Linked DNA regions of Saccharomyces cerevisiae S288C. The gene in region 1 interacts genetically with each later gene. Each region holds a gene or a part of one and is shown on either strand. Other genes may lie near its edges. The genes, in order: AVT1 and PKH3.

Region 1 (4,261 bases):
CTTTCTTCCCCGGATGATGAGTTCAGGGTGCTACCATCAGAGAGATTGTGAGAAGGCGTGACAACATCTTTGAGTTCTTGAATTCCTTGAATTAGATCACCATCAATACTATCAAGAACTAGTTTGACCTGCCACCAAACTTGATTGGCGTCTAAACCATCAACAGTGATTTCGTCCAGTTCTGCTTTCTTTGTAATACTCCCATTCTTACAGGTATTGATAACTGAATCTATATATGCTTTAACATCTTTAGAAGTGGCGGAGGGGTCCTTCAAAATAATTCTGCCAGCATTAGATTTCAATACTCCAAAGAGTTCTGACATTATACGACTTTCCTTGGGTCTTTCGTGCACACATCATTTATTCATAACAAAACACTGTTTCTTCAAGAGCTCATCGCAAAATTGAAAATTTTCTGCTTCCCTCGCATGCCGGCGGCCAGTACAGAAAAGGCGGTGAATATTTTATGGAAATAATTCTACACGAAAATATGTATATTACGCAATGGTTTTTCATTATCAGAAGTACAGAGCTAATGTAAATGAATTTTAAGTAGAGTAAGTATGCCCCTCGTCGATTATGAAATAATTGCAGCACCAACACCTAATGTGGACAACACGACACTAATACATATGGTTACGTGACAAGCCACTCTCTCCCATGGTTTGATTGTTGTCTTGCACAATCTTAAATAGAACCAACACGGCAAAATTAGGCAAATTGTAAAACACAAACCGGCCCCCAGAAATGCGATAATCTTATCAAATTCAGGGAAATTAATAGCTATCAAAACGAAGACAACATTAATAAAGATCCTATTGAATACTTGAAGGCCTTTCGCAGCTCTTCTTTTTATGGCGCTGGCCGCTTCATCTATGTGTTGCACATTCATCAGAACGTCCAATACAGAAACGATAGGTCTTGCGTTCAATGGGGTCTTTGCGATAGGAATGATAGTCATAAGCGCTGAAATCAGACCATAAACGAATTTTGGATATCCCTCCGTCAGCAAAACGTTCTTAGTAATTTCATCTTTAACAAGATTTCCAAACATCAAAAAGCCAATAACTGCAGTACCTATGTCCGTAACCGATGTTATCTTATAGGTAGTTTTCAAACAGTCTTTAAATTTATCTGGATGCCTCATATCTGTCTTTAAGTTGGGAAAAACCGCATGTCCTCCCCAGCAGGCACTCAATAAACCTATAGATAAACAGAGATGCTTTAGATCTATCGGCCACATGCTCGTTTCCATCGGATTAACTAATGAACCTGGAGAAGACGACTTGTATAGTCCGCAGCAGCAAATGACTAGCACAGTTCCGGTTGTTGAAAGGATTCCCAGAAGCGAGATATTAGATAGAACACTCAATGGTATAAAAACCGGGGGTGTAACGATAAAAAATGAAACTATTTTGAAAAAAGTGGTGGAGTATTGAGGAAATAGAGCATTTAAAGAATCTCCGAAGAGAATCACCAAGGACACCCCACTACCCAGTAGGTCAAGTGTGAAAAGAGCAGAAATTAGTGCGCGCCCTTTTGTACCAAATGCTGCATATCCCAAGTCCGCGTAAGATATCAAAGTTGGATCTGTATCTAGGCACCTAGACAAAAGTTCAGCAGTACAAAATGTCGCTAAGGCGAAGATTGCAAGCATAGTAAGTCCTATAACCCAGCCGGCGTATTTCAAACCAAGAGGTAACGCCAGGAGCCCAATACCAATCAGTACATTGATTGAGTTGAATATGGTCTGTGGAGCGGTCGACTGACCAGCAAGAAGAGTTACTACCTTACCATCTACACCCTCCACTCTCTTCACTACAATTGAATCCATGTCATTATTTGTAAACCTTCTCCCCGCTCCACCACTCATCATTTCTGTTAAGGAGGCAGTAGGGCGTAATATTGACCCAGAATCCCCAATTGTTGAATTTTGGATGGACCCATAATCATCATCGTGAATAGCCATGCTGGCTGTACTAACTCTATCGTTGTTAGCCAAATTAGTAATGCGCGGGCGACCAGCATTATTTAAAGTTACTGATAATCTTCTACCGTCCAAAGCTGGTGCTAAAGTATCCGGATCGTAGGTTTCATCGTTACTCTCTTTGAAAAAGGATCTTTCATTATCCGCATTTAGCTCGATATTACGAAACGAATTGGCTCTCCTCAACGAAGTCGCAAATCGACTTAAAGAATTAACTCCCTTAAATGAGCCCACAGGATGGTCCAATATGGATTGCCTACGTGTCATGAACCCGTCAGACTGAAACTGTGATACAGAATCATCTGGTGAGAATGCGGAACCTCTGTTCAATGGGATTGAGATATAGTGAACCTCAGAGCGCTTACGGCCATTGGGACTCAATGGTTCTTGCTCAGGCATTTGCGTCTCGGAATCAGTTATACAGAATACGTAAGTCTACGTAATGACTCCCCGGTGTTACCTTTTCACTGTAAAATTTTTCTTTAGAACTACACAACACAACAATATTTTATTTATTTATATTCTCGATCTATCGCTATTTTCGCCCCTCGGTAAAAGAGATAAGAAAAAAAAAAACGCGATGAACAATAGCTAAAACAAAACAGATGCCTAACCAAGACGCGTTGTGTATAACAAAATACCAGTTTAGTTGTTGTGGATGCTTATTCTATTTAGGATGGCCAAAGAACCTACAAAAAAATAAAAAAAAAATAATATTATACTCGTTCTCAACAACTCTACTAATTATTAAATAGGATTATATTAGAGTAACTTAATCACGTGTTAAATAATTAATTTACTTTAAAATTTATTTTTTAATATAAAATATTTATTCTTTTTATTTAAAAATAAAAAACACAAAAAAACAATGTTTATGATTTCCGAACCTAAATATACACTTTACGAGAAGAAATGATTTTCCGGTAGTTAACCTTTTTTTATAGATACGTAGATACAGTCACCATTTTTAACATTGCACACAACTGTACGAATGCATAGATAAGGTAAGCCTTCCAGGACTCCGAAGAATTAGTGAATCAATCTCACATACGTTTTTATACAACAAAAAAATGATTAGTCGTAAAATATCTTGCTTACGAAATTCCCTTCTGAGATACTTTGTCGTTCTAACAGTTAGAGAAAAAAGCGTAAAGCGAAGAGAAAAAGAGAAAGAGGTTATAGACTATTATATGTTATATCAGTGTAGATCCAGAGGCATTTGTTAACAAATATAAAGAGAAGTAATCACTCAGAATTTGTTCTTTTGGGGTCTATTATAGTTGTTCATATTCATCAGGGTAGAATATCAAACGTTCCACACCAGCAGCTGTCAAAACAACCATTCTTATAACACCACCGGAAGATCCGTCCCATTTAATGGCTTGCGATAGCGAATGCTTTATGAAATCTACGGTTTCTTCCTTTGACATATTTTCTCTAAAGTTTTTATCACAATACCCATATATGAAAGTAGAGCCAGATCCTGCTATCGCATAAGGCAGCTTATGGACGGAGCCACCCAATGGAATAGTATATACTTCCCCTTTGTTTTTGTCATCATAACCAGCCACAATTATACCAGCAGTAAGGTTATCTTTATTTTCGTAACATAATTCTTTGAACACCGAGGCAGCAGTCTCTGTGGAGGGGGTACCATATTGAGAAGTATATAATTCCAAATGGTACTGAACAATGTCGGCAATCGCCTGCGTGTCTGCTGCAGAACCGGACCTACAACACCAAATTTTGTCATGTACTCTCGTTAATTTATCTGTCACACGGTTAGCTATGTACGCACCAGTGGTGGTACGTGAATCAGCACCTAGTATCACACCATCCTTAAATGTCACGGCCATACTATTTTATTAGGTGATTATAAGATACCTATTAGTTAGTAATAAGGCCAATTGAGACTTTACTTCATTGAACTTTTAGAAACAATAAAGTGGGAGGAAAAATTCTTATATACATACATTGAGGTACCTAAACTGACTTCGCCCTTTTTCAAACGATTGATGTCCACTTGAATTCCATTCATGTTAACTTTCTGTGTGTACTTTGAAGTAGCAATTCTTATCGTAATTGTACACCGTCTCGCAACTTGTTTAAAATACTGTTAAAGATTGCATTTCAATGCTTTTCCCTTTTTTGCCACCGGATTCCGTTGCGAGTGGAAAAGTGAAAATGACAAAATTCAAAAGAAATCTATCAATATAACAAAAACGCCAAATCATCAAAAATGATCGGTGTTGAAGAGCTTGGCACTCTTAAAGG
Region 2 (5,337 bases), on another chromosome or scaffold:
GAATATTCTTGCGGTAAACATGAATAACCTTAACAAAGCACGCTGTATTGAAAAAGATATTCAAGAGTCGTTCAGGGAGGAGAAGTTAGCCTCTTTACAACCAAAGAAGAAGAGAAAGAAAAGCATTTTACACTGAGGTGTTACTAGACATAATTTAGTTCATATGTCCATTTCTGCATAATCATATATACTTAAAGTAGCAAATGTATATAGTTTTTTCTTCCGATTTTCGAAACTAATATTAGTATTGGAAATCGGCCCCTGCCATTGTGCAATTTACATTATTCTATAATTAAGCAAACGTGATACGTGGATGGTAATAATAGTTACAGTTAAAGTAAGACCGCTTAACATCATTCCAATCTGGCAATTGCTCGTCAAGAGAATATCTGGTGTAATCGCATTTCATACCATATGTAGCAACATCGATCTCAACAATTTCTTTATATACATCGTAACACAACGATCTGTCAGCGCCTAATCCGTTGAAAAATGAGAAAACGCCTTCTGGTTTAATTAAACCTACCACGACATCGTATAAGTCCAATATGTCTTGGTAGTGCTCGCTAAATGTATCATAATAAATACCATCAAAGAAAACTTCACCTTTGTCTAATAAATTATTCAACGTATCTTGCCATCTTCCCTCTAAAATAACCACATTATCCTTTTCATACCAACCATCCATTTTCATCTTGGCCAAAACATCTGGATGAGCTTCGCAAATATAGTGACGATATGGTTTTCGAGCTTGGATGAATGTATCGATGATCCCCATTCCAAATCCAATGTTTAAGATCGTAGCAGAATTAGTGGCCTCTGGATCAGGAAATAAGGTTTCGGAAGCAAGTTCCATAATCTTGGTTTCCCAATCCATCATAACACCGTCCTTATTTTCCTTTGTGATAAGCGCATCGTCTTTGTACTCTAGTTCTGTTTTTAAGTACACTTGTTGATTTGCCGCGGTAGCATCGTCATCACTACCAACTGATTCTTCTTTTTGACCATCAACTGCTGTTTGAACGCTTTCCTCAGGCTCGATACCTATTAGTTCATCTGTATCCAAGAATTCGACGTCGCCACCATTGAGTTTTCTCAGTAATAATTCAGCAGACACACCAGCTTCCACGAGCCGTCTATAAAGAGGGCTCTCCCTACTTTGATTTCTCTCTAAAAACAAATCACCCACTGTTTTGTCCTCGTAGTCAATAAAATTCCATCCAGCCCCATACTCAAAAAGAATATTCATCATATCCATCACCACTTGCAGTTCCTCATCCTTGATATCCAAGGGTAGCGATCTTGCTAAAACGTGTAACGGCGTTGTGTTTGAGGTTTTATTGTCGTCAGTGCTCTCTCTGAATTCCTTATCCCCGTTCCTGTTCTTTTCCTCATGCTCGAAGGCTGCGACCTGCTCCAAAGTATATGTAGCCGGTATACCAGATTTTAAGAAATGCTGCAGTTTTGGTACATAGTAACTTTGAGAAATGGGCCTCTCTGGGAAAGTAAGCAAAGCATGTAATTCTGACATACTTGAATATATTAAAAGTCCTTGGTGTAAACACCTAGCCGTTGCAACTGCTGGGTATTGTCAATGTCATTTTGCTTTACGCTTAGCTTAAAATGAGATGAGATGAGCTTTGAAAAATTTTAGAAAAAGAAAGGTGCCATCGATTCTCGCCGAAAAAGGAAAAGAATCGTTATAATCCTTCGAATCCTATATACACTAAACAAATATCTGCATTGGTCAACCCCAAGCACACGTACTGATGACTAGAGATGATACTGAAAGTGTTAACAATATAACTTCCTTACTCGCAGCTAATGTCACATATTGAGGTAACAATGGATCGAAACAATTTTCATGCTTACCCGCGCGGTGATTTCTTGGTAGCGAAGGGGTTTTCATGAAGGCAGCAGAAGAGAGGTACATTGATTTGAAAGTGTGAGGAAACAGAATAATAGTGCCTAAAGCCTAACCCAAGCAAGTAAGCAGTTCTTCCACGTCTTATCTATTCAGAGGCTGAAACAATTGAGTGAAAATTTAAAGAGTAGGTGTGGGACATTGGTATGACATATGACGTCTAGGAAAAGGTCTCCGCACGATTTCATATTTAAAGAGGAACTGGGCCATGGCTCTTACTCTACTGTGTTTAAAGCTCTAGATAAAAAAAGCCCGAATAAAATTTATGCCATTAAAGTTTGTTCGAAGAAACACATAATCAAAGAAGCTAAGGTAAAATATGTCACCATTGAAAAGAATACCATGAATTTGTTGGCACAAAAGCATCACGCGGGTATAATCAAACTATACTATACTTTTCACGATGAGGAAAATCTTTATTTTGTTTTGGATTTTGCCCCAGGTGGAGAACTACTTTCCTTATTGCACAAAATGGGTACTTTCAATGATATATGGACGCGTCATTTCACTGCACAGTTAATTGATGCATTAGAATTTATCCATTCACATGGCATCATTCATAGAGACTTAAAACCGGAAAACGTCCTTTTAGACAGGGATGGTAGACTTATGATTACTGATTTTGGGGCCGCTGCCACCATAGACCCTAGTTTAAGCGGAGATTCGGCCAAGTTTAACTCTGACAGCAACGGCTCAAAAGACAACCAAAATTGCGCTTCCTTTGTTGGTACTGCCGAATATGTCTCTCCAGAGCTGCTTTTATACAACCAATGCGGTTATGGCTCAGATATATGGGCACTAGGTTGCATGATATATCAGTTTGTCCAAGGACAACCGCCGTTTAGAGGGGAGAATGAGCTGAAGACATTTGAAAAAATCGTAGCATTAGATTATCCATGGGGACCCAATAACCGCATCAATAATAGCACATCACCAATAAATCCCCTTGTAATAAACTTAGTACAAAAAATATTGGTGATAGAGGTCAATGAGAGAATCTCTCTCGAACAGATAAAAAGACACCCATATTTTTCAAAAGTAGATTGGAATGATAAAATCAAAATATGGAGAGGAATCTGGCAATCACAAGGACAATCGCTGCAACAAACTACTTTGGGACTCCCAAATATACCGCAGAATATACTACCCACCAGACAATTACATGTAATTGACACTCCAGCACGAAGTATACAAATCACAAAACAAAAACGTAAGAAACCAACGAAAATTTCCAACACTACTAGTAGCATAGTAGTATGGAGAAAAAGGCTTGGTATATCAACAGGTAAGGATGATTTAGGCACCGTACCGTCCACTACGCCTGCAGTGACCGCCCCTAATGATACCAATGTATTAACAAATACGGCGGCACATTCTACTGCAAATATTGCCTTACCGCCTAATTCACAATCCAATCAAGTCAAGCGAGCACAACTAGTTGCACCAAATAGAATACCTCCCAAAGTACCGGTAATTAATGACAACGTGAGAAATAAGTCAATTCCGCGCACAAAGCCTAATGTGCCACCTTTGCAAACATCATCAATACCACAAAAGTTGTCAACATCGTCAGCATCGTCAGCTCTATCGGCGCCGTCAACAGAGATAAGGAACCAGGACTTAACACACACTTTAGATGGAAGAAACTCAATTGATATTCATGTTTTAAAACAAGACTACGTCTTCATTTATGGCATTCCATATGAACACGAAGGGCCTGCTATGTCTTTGAACAGCTACAATAAGATCGATAATGATTTAATTACGTCACTAGTTGCGCAGCATAAAGAAGAATTAAAAAACTCAGAGTCGTTTTTACAGGTATTGACTTTGAAGAAGAGCGGAATGTTAAGTTACAAAAACACAGTTATGGAGGGAAATGATGATCAAGAAAACAAAGAACACCAGATGGCTAATATAGAAGATACAGACTTGTCCATGTACGATTTTGAATTCAATGAGTTGACAAGGAAGGGTTTTTTAATCCTGGAAAAATATAAGAATAGAATATGGTTTATCTCGCTACCTTCATATTCAACGTTATCCAAAATACCATTCAATGCCGTGAAGTCTTCGACAATAAATAACAATGAAAATTGGGTCGATTGCTTTTTCAGAGCAAGACAACTACTAGAAGAAAAGCAAATTCTTGATAAAATCAGTAACGTTTCCTTTGATAGTAAGGCATCGAGTGAACCATCATCACCTCCGCCTATTTCAAGAAAAGAGCGGCCTCTGAGTATAGGAAATAATGTAACAACACTCAGCTATACTGCAAAAAATGGAAGCCAGAACAATGCACCACAAAACGATAATGTTGGAGAAGAAAAACCTTTTCGCATACCTAGTAGTACCAAGGATAGGCCCGGTGCAAATTCCACTCCTTCTTCAAGACATCCTAGGGTTTTGTCAAGCAATAACGCTGGTGAAACTCCGAAAAAAATGAATGGAAGATTACCAAATAGTGCACCTTCTACCAATACATATACCAACGGTTCGGTCCCAGCTTTTAATCATAGGCCTTCTACTAATGTAGGGAACAATAAGCATAATATTTTAACTTCGAAGAAGCAGGGATCATCCGTATTTTCTCCTTCATCTTCTACGACCAAGCCTCAAATCAAAACAACAGGATATCGACAGCCAACACCTTCACCTCCACTTCCGCAAATGGAATTCCCAACTACGAGAGAAAAGTATTCTGCTCCTTCTAACATGGTGATCAGTAGCAGCAGATACGAGGTCTTACATACCCTTAATAACAGCCAAACAAACTTTGATAGGGAAATTGCTAGTAGGGGTGCCTCAGCAGCATTTAGAAGTTTACAGAAGAGTAAGAAAAAAAAATAACACGCTTTAATAATATTTGTGGTTCCTCTACTTCGAAACAAAAAAATATGCACGAGTTGTTGACGATCCAGAAAAACCAACATATAAATCATATCCAAACCCTTGTAGCATTAATATCCGTATCACTTATGTATTCAGAATGCATGTATTTTATATATGCCCAGTATATCTTCGATTGAAGCTCTTCGGCATTAGTGCATTGTATTTTTCAAGCAATGAATGCCAAAACTAATAAAACTATCAAGACGACAATAAGAAGTCCTATACAACAATCGTCGTATTTTTCTTTATTTTTTTCGTAGACCCATTCCAATTGCCTACGACCTCTAGCCAGCTTATTTACAACACCGTCCATACCCTCGTCCATATTATCCAACAATTGTCCCTGGTTCTCTAATTCATCCCCCATTGTTTGAGCTTGAATATGCAAATTTTGCATTGTCTTGTGAATACCATCTAAATGAACATCTTGTTCTCTTAACATTTGTTCCTGAAACGGATTGGACATACCACCATCATTGTTCTCAGCCATGCTGGTGTTAAGTGTTGAATTTTCCACCGTC

The links.
Region 2: mutations in AVT1 (region 1) and PKH3 together harm fitness more than expected from each alone (negative genetic interaction), as found in Saccharomyces cerevisiae (2 studies listed by BioGRID).

The regions. Positions count from the first base shown.
Region 1 is NC_001142.9:434,927-439,187, reverse strand, and holds AVT1 (Avt1p), read right to left. Parts: upstream 2,387-4,261; coding exon 578-2,386; downstream 1-577. Other genes in the region: rRNA-processing protein MPP10, read right to left, coding at 1-323; PRE3 (proteasome core particle subunit beta 1), read right to left, coding at 3,262-3,844, 3,961-4,025.
Region 2 is NC_001136.10:1,393,044-1,398,380, forward strand, and holds PKH3 (protein kinase PKH3), read left to right. Parts: upstream 1-2,077; coding exon 2,078-4,774; downstream 4,775-5,337. Other genes in the region: SPP41 (Spp41p), read left to right, coding at 1-136; RMT2 (protein-arginine N5-methyltransferase), read right to left, coding at 293-1,531; TLG1 (Tlg1p), read right to left, coding at 4,983-5,337. UniProt on the Saccharomyces cerevisiae protein: Serine/threonine-protein kinase which may phosphorylate the same targets substrates as PKH1 and PKH2, 2 upstream activators of PKC1.